Linked DNA regions of Xenopus tropicalis. The protein of the gene in region 2 interacts with the protein of the main gene of each other region in a biochemical or structural test. Links are inferred from orthologs where the notes say so. Each region holds a gene or a part of one and is shown on either strand. Other genes may lie near its edges.

What was found.
Region 1: of the proteins of chek1 (region 2) and cdc25a, one has a biochemical effect on the other in vitro, tested with the Homo sapiens proteins (7 studies listed by BioGRID and IntAct, with this or other methods). The link is inferred for Xenopus tropicalis from reciprocal best matches to the Homo sapiens genes CHEK1 and CDC25A.
Region 3: the proteins of chek1 (region 2) and mcm7 form a complex in vitro, tested with the Homo sapiens proteins (2 studies listed by BioGRID, with this or other methods). The link is inferred for Xenopus tropicalis from reciprocal best matches to the Homo sapiens genes CHEK1 and MCM7.

The regions. Positions count from the first base shown.
Region 1 is NC_030682.2:12,726,982-12,730,635, reverse strand, and holds part of cdc25a (M-phase inducer phosphatase 1), read right to left. Parts: coding exon 3,643-3,654; intron 3,018-3,642; coding exon 2,955-3,017; intron 2,865-2,954; coding exon 2,766-2,864; intron 2,603-2,765; coding exon 2,472-2,602; intron 1,892-2,471; coding exon 1,780-1,891; intron 1,675-1,779; coding exon 1,534-1,674; 3' UTR 1-1,533. UniProt on the Homo sapiens protein: Tyrosine protein phosphatase which functions as a dosage-dependent inducer of mitotic progression. Directly dephosphorylates CDK1 and stimulates its kinase activity. Also dephosphorylates CDK2 in complex with cyclin-E, in vitro.
Region 2 is NC_030683.2:74,060,092-74,063,845, reverse strand, and holds the start of chek1 (serine/threonine-protein kinase Chk1), read left to right. Parts: upstream 1-1,163; 5' UTR 1,164-1,393; exon of another isoform or gene 1,394-1,406; intron 1,407-1,718; 5' UTR 1,719-1,734; coding exon 1,735-1,799; intron 1,800-1,961; coding exon 1,962-2,185; intron 2,186-2,683; coding exon 2,684-2,748; intron 2,749-3,754. UniProt on the Homo sapiens protein: Serine/threonine-protein kinase which is required for checkpoint-mediated cell cycle arrest and activation of DNA repair in response to the presence of DNA damage or unreplicated DNA.
Region 3 is NC_030679.2:144,214,271-144,217,924, forward strand, and holds part of mcm7 (DNA replication licensing factor mcm7), read left to right. Parts: intron 1-174; coding exon 175-339; intron 340-1,772; coding exon 1,773-1,897; intron 1,898-1,982; coding exon 1,983-2,163; intron 2,164-2,253; coding exon 2,254-2,391; intron 2,392-2,897; coding exon 2,898-3,047; intron 3,048-3,413; coding exon 3,414-3,528; intron 3,529-3,654. UniProt on the Homo sapiens protein: Acts as a component of the MCM2-7 complex (MCM complex) which is the replicative helicase essential for 'once per cell cycle' DNA replication initiation and elongation in eukaryotic cells.

The sequences.
Region 1 (3,654 bases), on a different chromosome or scaffold from region 2:
ACATTACAAACCTTGTAACAAAAATACCACAAGACAGTCATGTATACCCATACATAGGTTTCCATAAGCAGCCCAGCTGGACCGCCCCGACCTTTGCACGGATAGTCGTGTATTTACAGTGTTCAATGCACAATGACTTCTCACCATCACTCCTTGCACTAACAATTTAACAGGAAATCAGCGTGAAAAATGCAGTCCAAACGGGCCATTGGGTCAGTGCCATGTTACAACTCTCAATAGGGAGTCACGGCAGGAGTCAATAGTACCGAGAAGTTCAACCATGACCAGGAACATTTGGCAAGTCGACAAGGTGAAAATTGCCTAGTAAGGAAGGGAGCTGTACTGTCACTTCCTAAAACATGACAACCCACGTCGTCAACCTTGGCCCCTTCTAGGTATTAAGTTCTCCACCTTCATTTTTAAGCCTAACATGTAAATGTGTAAGTGTGCGAAGGTGAAGAGTTAACACTAAGGGGTTATTACAAACACTACACATTGCAGTTACTCCATTTAAAAACAGATTAAAATTGGTCTAGGTCAGCTCTTTAGCACCCCCTAAAGGACCACTCCTGCCCAAATATCTGATGGAAGGACCACACAGGGGGCGGAGTGCAGCTGTGGGAGGGGTGCTCAGCCATACTGTTACTTCAGGTGCCCCTTTTATCCAACACTGGCCCTTGAGTAATACACAAAGCCTTGCTGATCAGTTCTCTGGCAGGACCAGTACCTATATCCTTACCTGTGAGCTGAATTCAGCCCTGGGGTGAAGGGAACCACAGTCTGATAATCACCACAACTTATTCAATAGTAAAACAACTCAAAAACGATAAAACATTTCTCGTCGTGCAAATCCTTGATTAAAAAAGGAAAAAAAAAAAAATCTTCTCAAAATTGAGAAAAGAGAGTTAATACTTTTAAACAAAATCATAAAAACAGCAATAAATACTGGCAGTGGCCATTTAGATAAATTGAACCTAAATGTTAAAATGCCCCCAGAGGAGATCAAAGCCAGCCAATGGCAGAACTTGCTCTCAGTTTGAAACGGAAATGGAATCCAGAAAAAAAAGTTGCAGGAAGTCTGCACTTTGGCCAACTTGGTGCCTTGAGCAGGGAAACCAGTTCTGCCAATGAGAATGCATGATATGGAATGTAACAGGTGGATCCGGTAGCAGAGAAGCCTGAGCTACAAGCATTCTATGGCTTCACGTTGCACCTTTGGGATCATTGATTAATTTTATACTCCATTTTTTTCTCACCCAAACAAACCATTGTTAAAAAAAAAAAAATGTCCATTCAATAGGACAGTGCAGTAGACAGATTCCAGAACTCTCAGCAATGAGTGCTGTAAGGCAGAACTGAATATGGCACAACATATGCCTGTGTCAGATACACCTCCTGAGGAAGGTTCATGTGCAAAGAAAACAAAGCAGAACAAGAGCGCAGAAGAGAATGAGTTTCATGATATAGTTTTATCTCCGCGGCTCTATCGGCTGCTCTGTGATTGAAAAGGCAGGACTGTGCGGGCACGGAGGCTCATAGTTTCTTCAGCCGGCTGTACAGTTCTCTCTTGCTTCTCTCCCCTGCCCATGTCCGGCTCTTCATGCGGAACTTTCTTAGGTCTTCTTTAAAGTCCTCGTGGTTCATGGGGCGGTAGGTCTGCGGCGTACAGTAGGTCTGGTAAGGGGAGAGAAACAGACTTCTAAATCTGATTCTGGATAACAGGTCCTATGCCTGTACATACAAAAAGCACTCACATATGCCCATTGGCATGTTACTTACCTTGCACTTCTGAAAGAATTCTTTATATCCACCATGTAAAATATAAAGCTCTGGGTAGTATAACTGCGGATATTCATTTCTATCTCTGTCTTTCTCCCGTAGAAACTTGCACCTGTAACAGAGGTTTGAAAGAATAAGCCGGGCATCTGAAACTTATGGCAACACACAGGGTGCTTGGTCGCCCACATTAAAGCCTAGGAGAAAAAGGTGTTGTTACTGGCGCTTTAATGAGAGAAAGTGACCCATACAGGGCTTCTCTGCCCCCTAACTCAAGCTTCAGCCATGATCTTTGCATGGCAGTTCATTTTCTAAATTTCTTGTGCATTAAAAAAAAAATGCTATTTAGATTTGCACCCAATTATTAAAGGGCAACTACACTAGCAAAGGAACCATGAGCCATTAGCCACAGGATCCCAAGTACTAAAGCTTCAGTAGTGTGGCTGCTCTCATAGCTGTGCTTAGGGTATAACACGGGGTTTGGAAGCATTTTCCGTTGCACTGATTGATGCGCCAAGGAAAGCAGTGTGGGACGACAAAAAGCCAAACCCAGTGAGCTGTCATTACTTATATACCTGCTCTCAATACACCCTTCTCCAATATCACCAGAGGGTGCAGGACAGACACCAGTATATTAGACAGCTGAAGATGGAATTGGGGCACAGGAAAGCGCTCAGTGGGCTGTGTTTACTCACATTCTGGGTCCCCGCTCCGACGAGAACTCACAGTGGAAGATTAAGATAACTCGTTTGGAACCATTTGACATGACTGGATTCTTTAGGAAATATTCCTCAGCCTCCTGCTCCATGTGAAGGTTAATGGCTCCCTGCAGAAAAAGCAAAGCACTGTGGTCTAATATATACCCATCTACCAACAACCACTGTCAGCCTTTAGTCAACATTTCCAGAACTTTTCGCAGCCATTACTTAATCACATCACCACAAAAGGAACCATCTTCTCAACTACGAAACAGTACAAGTAAAACCTACCTGTATGTGACCTCCTTCATACTCGTAGGGGTATCTACAATCAATAATCACGCATCGCTCAATAAAGGGGTCAAATCTTCCATTTAGGATGAGAACCATCTGCAAAAGTATAACATTATTTGAGAATACTGAAATGGCAGGGGCGGGGGGGGGGGGGGGGGCAAAACACTGATGTACAGGAAAGCTCACCAGTTCAGGAGTGATGTACTTTAGTTCCTGGTGCCTGCCGCTCACTGTCGGGAACAGGAAGACCTAAAAACACAACACAGAGCCAAGTCAGCCATGTAACTCAAAAGGAAGTGCTTGGCAAATTGAAAAACCTCAGTGTCCTGCCAAAATGAGTGGCTCACCTTTAACCTCAGTTAACTGTGTATCCTATAGAATGGTCTATTCCTAGCAACTCTTCAAATGTTCTTTAAATTACAGTTTTTTTAATATGCTGCTTCTACCTTTTTCAGATGAAAAGGGGGGGGTGTCACGGACCCTATTAGATAAAAAGCTATTGCCCTGTGGGGCTAATGTTTTGTTGTTACTTTGACTTTTCTGCCCACCTCACCTATTTATTAAGATTTTTGTTTATACCACTGGCTGGCTGCTGGGGTAAAGTGGACTCTAGCAACAGAAAATAAAAGACAAAATGCAAATTGTTTCAGACTTTACCTGAATGCAACACACCCAAGGTTGAGTTAAAGGTGGATTTTTTTTTTTTTAAGCAGCTCAGGTACTAACACTAACATTATGAACCAATAAAACCCTGCATTAAACCTAAACAGTAGGTTGTGTGTAAGGTCAGTCTCAAAACCCTGAACAGTCCATAACTGCAATTAATTTCAAATTGGACACAACGTAACATCACATGGGGGAAAACATAAAATACCTTTGAAAAGTC
Region 2 (3,754 bases):
ATAGGCAATTTCAATATATAAAGGATTACATTACCCTGGATAGGCCCTGTATGGGCAGTTTCCTATCATTGGTGTGGTTAGACACGTGTAAACGTGCAGTGGCCCCCAGGAGTGTTTCTTGTGGATTCGGTTCAACTGGACCTCCCTTCCTCTTTTATGGAACTGTTTTTAATGGATTTCCAAGGACATTGGATCAACACTTACGGACTTAGTATTTGGACTGTATGCTTTATTCACTTTGCACTTGTTTTTGATTATCTTATAAATTATTACCTTTTATGCTATTTTAACAAACCTAAACAAATCTATGCACATTGTGGCATTATTTATGCTAATTGCAGCACTATCACTTTAATGTTAATGTATAATGAAACATTACCATATTTAACTATAGCATTTTTTACACAAGGTATATTATATAATGACCCTTCACTTATGTTTAACTTGTTAACTTATTATACTATCACTTTAAGAAAGTTTCCTGAAATGCTGTGTGCTTGGTGGGTCATAGGTCAATTTGGCTTTAAATGAGATCACATGGTTATGGTCTTTGTACACTTGATAAAGGGTATTAACCCGAAACATGTCGTGTTACCACTACCCATAATAAATGTTTTGCAGTTAATCTGCTGGAGCTTTTTTTCCTATTTTTGGATTTTTGCAGTTGTATTTGGTTGCAGCACAGAGCAACAACTAGGAGCTAAAGCATTTTTCGTAAGTACTTTATACAAAGTTCACCAATAATTTTTCATTTTTGAACGTATTGGGTCGTATGCACTGACTGACCTGTGATCATTATATAAGCATAGAGGGTTTTACGTTTGTCTCCAGAACATAGATCTGTGTATTAAACTGTTACTGTAACTTTTTAAAGACATAAAAAACTAAACTGATGACAATATAATTTTATCCGAGCTTGCCCAAAACTTCTAGCTTTTTGGTAAGATTAAGAGAAAATACTCTGATTGGGTAAACGTTGGAACTCCGAGCACAAAATATAAACTTCTACGAAAATTGTGGGCTGAGCTGTGTGACTTTCTGGCAAGATACCAACAAGGGAGACTGGTTCTTTTTATTATTATTATTATTATTAATTATTATTATTATTCAGAATTAGGAGATACGTACACCGAAACTACGACGGATCGGCACTATCAAGGCGGCTACGTAAACGTCACTGCGCTGACGTGCAGTCGGACGCCATACTCGCGAGATTTGTGGTGTCGGGATTTGCCGTATGACTGTAGAAGCGCGCCAGGAAAATAGTTTTCTGGGAGCTGTAGGTGGCGTTCCGAAATTGCGGGCTGTGTTAGGAAACGCTGTGTAGGGGAAAGAACATGCAGGAACTGTAGCAACAGGTATCAAGAAGTCTGCAAATCAATGACAGGAGTGGGTTGGTAATCCAAGTATGTGTAGCACATCTGTCCCCCCTTAACTCCCAAAACCAACTTTCCCGGGACGAGTATTACCCGATGGCGCCTTGCGGTTATGTGTGTAATTATACAATAGTTCTTTTCAAGGATGTGTCTTTTGTGGTATGACAGTATTAGATTAAATAGAATTTGAAAAATATTCTACGTTTTGAAGCAATATTTGCCCATTTGTCCCATAATCAGAATGTTTTTTTTTTATACGCATTCATACAAACAGCTGGAAACATTGAGCTTTCCATAACCTAGTGGTTCCCCTGTTTTAAAACGTCTTTGTTGCATTGGCAGATAATAACATAAGAAAATGGCAGTTCCATTTGTTGAAGACTGGGATCTTGTCCAGACTCTTGGGGAAGGGGCATATGGAGAGTGAGTACCTGTTTTTATTTTAACATTTTATAGTTTCCTTGAATTTATCATTTTCCCCCCTTTCTGGAATTTATTATTTTATATCACATGCACACTTTCACATGAGATTAGCATAAGTTCATACATAAGCTGTAACTTTTCTTCAATTGCTGTTTATATCAGAGTGCAGCTGGCAGTAAACCGGAAAACAGAAGAAGCAGTAGCAGTGAAGATTGTGGACATGACACGTGCAGCTGATTGCCCAGAAAACATCAAAAAGGAGATTTGTATTAATAGGATGCTTAATCACACAAATATTGTAAGATTTTATGGACATCGACGGGAAGGAAACATTCAGTACCTCTTTCTGGAGTATTGTCGAGGTGGTGAGCTCTTTGATCGCATAGGTATGGAATTCGTTCTGGAATATGTAACTGAATCGAGAAGTCACTATGTGATAAATTCTGTATCCATCAATATATTGCTTTAGTTTTAAGTCATGCACAAGGGTTTACCAACAGAAATAGCTTTTGAATCTGTTGCTAAAATCTTCTCATGCCGTGCTTGAAGTTTAATAATTTCAGGCAGATTGTGTTGTGGATGTGCTCATTCATAGTTTTTACCCCTATCTTTGTTGGACTGATAACCATCTAGTTGTTAACCAGTATACGTAGTATAGTTATTTAGTTTTAAATACACAGGCCAATATTATCTGCTGACCCTTCCCAGACCACTTTGGTCACTTTTTGGCCTCTTAAACATAGTCCTGTGGGTACCAGGAGTACACCACCCTCATAGGGACAAAAAGATATAAAATGTTCATCAGAAGTGAAGTAAGAATATGTATTTAAGATTGAAGTGAGCTTGTTCATGCACAGTAACGTGTTTATTTATATTTGTTACAGAACCTGATGTTGGAATGCCTGAGCAAGATGCACAAAAATTTTTTCAGCAGCTAATTGCTGGTGTGGTGAGGCACCTTACGTTTTCTCAGCAACTACTAAAATTGAAATAATTCTGTGTGCAACTTTGTTTCCAGTACATGATGATGGCACATGTAGGGTTCATAATGCATAGAGTTGCATACAAGTTTCTACTAACAGCAATGAGAAGCACCACATAAAAGCCTTAGCAGTAGACTGTCGCCTAAAACTGAGCTTTCACATGCTGTAACACTTTGCATTTACAGCCATTCCTTGTTTCAGGTCCAAATATTGTTTAGGCCTGAATATTAAACATTCTACTTGAATATTGATTTCTTATATATGTTTACACATGTGTAAACCTTATGTGTCAGATTTCCTCTGCTGCCACAGGGAGCTGCTGCTGCTTAGATTCTGAAACAATCCAACTCATCTACTGCACAGTCCTCCATGTGTAGTAGGATGCAATCTGAAGCAATTATGCTTGTGGCTGGATGTGTATGCACTTCTACGGTTCATGCTGCACAGAGAGAACAGGGTTCAAAGCTTCTTGAACAGCTTAGGTAGGGCTGGCTGTGGTGTCCTGTTTAAAGGTGGCCACACACGTGGCGATTGGTCGCACGAAAGATCGTTCCAATCGGCCACTAACGTTCAGGGCTGAAACGGCAGATATGGAGGTAGAAACAATAGGATTTCTGCTTCCTTCTGCCGATTCAGCTCTGAAGGTAGATTTTGCTCAGGCGCCTTCTATGCGCCCGATCAAAATCTTCTAACCCACCCGATCGGCGAGTCGACCAATATCAGCAGCCTCCTGCGATATCGGTCACCTCGCCGACTTGCCATACACGCACCGAATATCCTATGAAACGAGGTTTTGTATGATATTATCGGTGCGTGTATGGCCAGCTTAAGGGGACGAAACTGGGTAATTTATCTTTACAACAGTAAGAAAAAAAAATGCATACAGTATAGATAAAAATATATATGTAATGTGTGTGTTAAAAATATGATATCTTCTGATATCTACTGGGAGTTTCTCTTTTGCTACCTTCC
Region 3 (3,654 bases), on a different chromosome or scaffold from region 2:
CAGCTGGGGTGTTTGCTACAGAAACCCTACTATAGTTTATATAGATGCCCCGGGGGCAGCCATTAAACCCTACTATAGTTTATGGAAATGTTGTGTATATAAGAATCTGTTAACTGTACAAAAGTCCTACAGAAAAGAATATAACCTGTACCTGACTAATCCCTATATTATCAGGCTAATATTGCTCACAGAGAGCAGGTTGCGCTGTACATCGATCTGGATGACCTGGCCGAGGAGGACCCCGAGTTAGTGGATGCAATCTGTGAAAACACAAGGAGGTACACAAACCTGTTTGCTGATGCCGTTCAGGAGCTGCTGCCCCAGTATAAAGAGCGAGAGGTGAGTTGTTCTGCCCCCAATAAGGGGTAATTATATCTTAGTTGGGATCAAGTACAGGTACTGTTTTATTATTACAGAGAAAAGGGAATCATTTAACCATGAAATAAACCCAATAGGGCTGTTCTGCCCCCAATAAGGGGTAATTATATCTTAGTTGGGATCAAGTACAGGTACTGTTTTATTATTACAGAGAAAAGGGAATCATTTAACCATTAAATAAACCCAATAGGGCTGTTCTGCCCCAATAAGGGGTAATTATATCTTAGTTGGGATCAAGTACAGGTACTGTTTTATTATTACAGAGAAAAGGGAATCATTTAACCATGAAATAAACCCAATAGGGCTGTTCTGCCCCCAATAAGGGGTAATTATATCTTAGTTGGGATCAAGTACAGGTACTGTTTTATTATTACAGAGAAAAGGGAATCATTTAACCATGAAATAAACCCAATAGGGCTGTTCTGCCCCCAATAGGGGGTAATTATATCTTAGTTGGGATCAAGTACAGGTACTGTTTTATTATTACAGAGAAAGGAAATCCTTTTTAAAATGTAAATGATTTGATTAAAATGGAGTCTATGGGAGATGGCCTTTCTGCAATTCTAACTTTCTGAATAATGGGTTTTCAGCTAAGGGGTCCGTTACCTGTACATTTGCTTTGGCTTTCTACTAGATACTATATTTCTATAGGATGTGAAGCCTGGCCAGAGTAAATAATCCACACCAATGGGATGGTGTATTTAGCCACAGACTTCACATAGTGAGGCATACAAACTACAATACAAGAAGTAACAATATGATACTGTATAACTGTAAATACTCTGATGCATTCATCTGTTAAAGGTAACATTATCCATCAACAAAGTCCTTATTTCAAATATGGAAGTCCCTATTTCTCTGCCTTCTCAGGGGGACACAGGGAACGTATGGGGGTTAAGCTCCACCCTCCAGGAGGCAGGACACTTGATTAACAAATTAAAGGGGCGTGCCCGTTGCCAGATTTACCCCTCCGCTGTACCCAATCCAATCAGTTTTTCAAGTGTCCTGCTGCCAGGAGGATGGACAGCTAGGTCCCAAGTGAGACCTAATATGAACACTTCGATCAGGGCCTATTGGGTAATGCCGGCAGCTAGCACGCCCCTTTAATTTGTTAATCAAGTGTCCTGCCTCTTGGAGGGTGGCGCTTAACCCCGTACGTTCCCTGTGTCCCCCCCTATCGACGGATTTAACAGTGAGTAACAAAAATCCTATTATATAAAGCTTTGTTCTTATTGCTCAGTTTATCAGAAACAGAAATGGAAGCCCATTCATAACTTTGTAGTCTTTCATGGGAAATCCATCCTGGTCCTAATACAGTAGTTGCAATGTGAATTAAATGCATCATTTCTGTTTTAGGGAAGAATAATCTCGGCTACTATTCTTTCCTGCTGTAGGTGGTACATAAAGATGCTTTGGATGTGTATATTGAGCACCGCTTAATGATGGAGCAGAGAGGCCGAGACCCCAGTGAGACCCGTGATCCTCACAACCAGTACCCCCCAGAGCTTATGCGCAGATTGTAAGTACCATTCACTGGCCCAGTTGGTGGTTGGTTTTAATGACATTAATAATAATCTAAAACCGCGTCCCTGTGTTCTATGCAGCGAACTGTACTTCAAAGCTCCGAGCAGCTCAAAAGCCCGCGTGGTGCGAGATGTCAAAGCCGATTCCATCGGCAAGTTGGTTACAGTTCGGGGCATAGTCACGAGGGTCACAGAAGTCAAGCCTATGATGGTGGTGGCAACGTACACATGTGACCAGTGTGGTGCCGAGACCTACCAACCGGTGAGTGTCGCTAATTTATAATTTCACTTGTAGAATTCCATTGTTTCCAACAGAGTTTGTTGATTCTCACCGGTTTGATTTTTCTTACAGATTCAATCTCCAACTTTTATGCCGCTTATAATGTGTCCCAGCAGGGAGTGTCAGACAAACCGCTCTGGGGGCAGGCTCTACTTGCAGACCCGGGGCTCTAAATTTATTAAGTTCCAAGAGCTGAAGATTCAAGAACATGTGAGTAGCTGAAATTTAAAGCAATACTGACATGGGATGGGGATAAACCCATCAGTTAATAGAGCTTCTCCAGCAGAATCCTGCATTGTAATCTGTTTTTCCCATGGGGCTAGCCATATCCTTCATTTCCCTGGGTGGCACGGTCACGTGACCTGTGCTTTGATAAACTTCACTCACACTTTACTGCTGCGCTGCAAGTTGGAGTGATATCCCCCCCCCCCTCACCCCCAGCAACCGATCAGCAGAACAATGGGAAGGGAGCAAGATAGCAGCTCCCAGTAGGTATCAGAATAGCACTCAATAGTAAGAAATCCAAGTCCGGCTTGGGACTCCTCCAGTTACATGGGAGTAGGAGAAACAATAGGTTAGCTGAAAGCAGTTCTAATGTGTAGCGCTGGCTGAAAGCTCAGACTCAGGCACACTTTACTGCTGCGCTGCAAGTTGGAGTGATGAGAGTAAATGTATACAATGCAGATATTAAGTCTTCCAACCCTCTCTCTCAATAGAGTGATCAAGTTCCAGTTGGGAACATCCCTCGCTGTATGTCTGTGTATGTACGTGGGGAGAACACGCGGCTCGCTCAGCCCGGGGACCATGTCAGTATCACTGGAGTCTTCCTGCCGATGCTAAGAACTGGCTTCCGTCAGGTGGTACAGGTAATAAACAATTTACAGTTATTACAATTCATCATTCTAGCTCAGCAGCTTCCTTATATTGCTGTGAGGTGGGATTACCCTTTAGCGGGTTTTATGTACAGGTTTCTGTGTGAGTAAATGTAAACAAGAACAGCAATTCCTATATAATATTCCTATTTTATGATCAATTTTGTACTGTGGGGAGTGCCCGGCCGCGGCTACCTAAGCATTTGTTTGAAGGACAAGTCAACCCAGAATATATTTTTTTGCCTTATAAAAAAAACTTAATTCTAAGCAATATACATTCCTTACAAACTTGTAATGGTTTTTGAGTTATAACTGTATAATTTTGGGGTTCACTGGTGATTTGTGTGGTTTTTCCTACAGGGGCTCCTTTCAGAGACGTACCTCGAATCTCACCGTTTGGTGAAAATGAACAAGACCGAGGATGATGAACTCGGAACAGAAGAGCTGAGTGAAGAGGAGCTGCGACAGATTACTGGTAAGCAGATGAGGAGTCCCTGTATGGAAGAACTGACTTCTCTAGGTTATAGACTATAGACCAGGGGTGGGCAATACGTCATTTGCGGTCCACCAGTCGATCCCCCCCCCCCCCCCAGATTTCTGT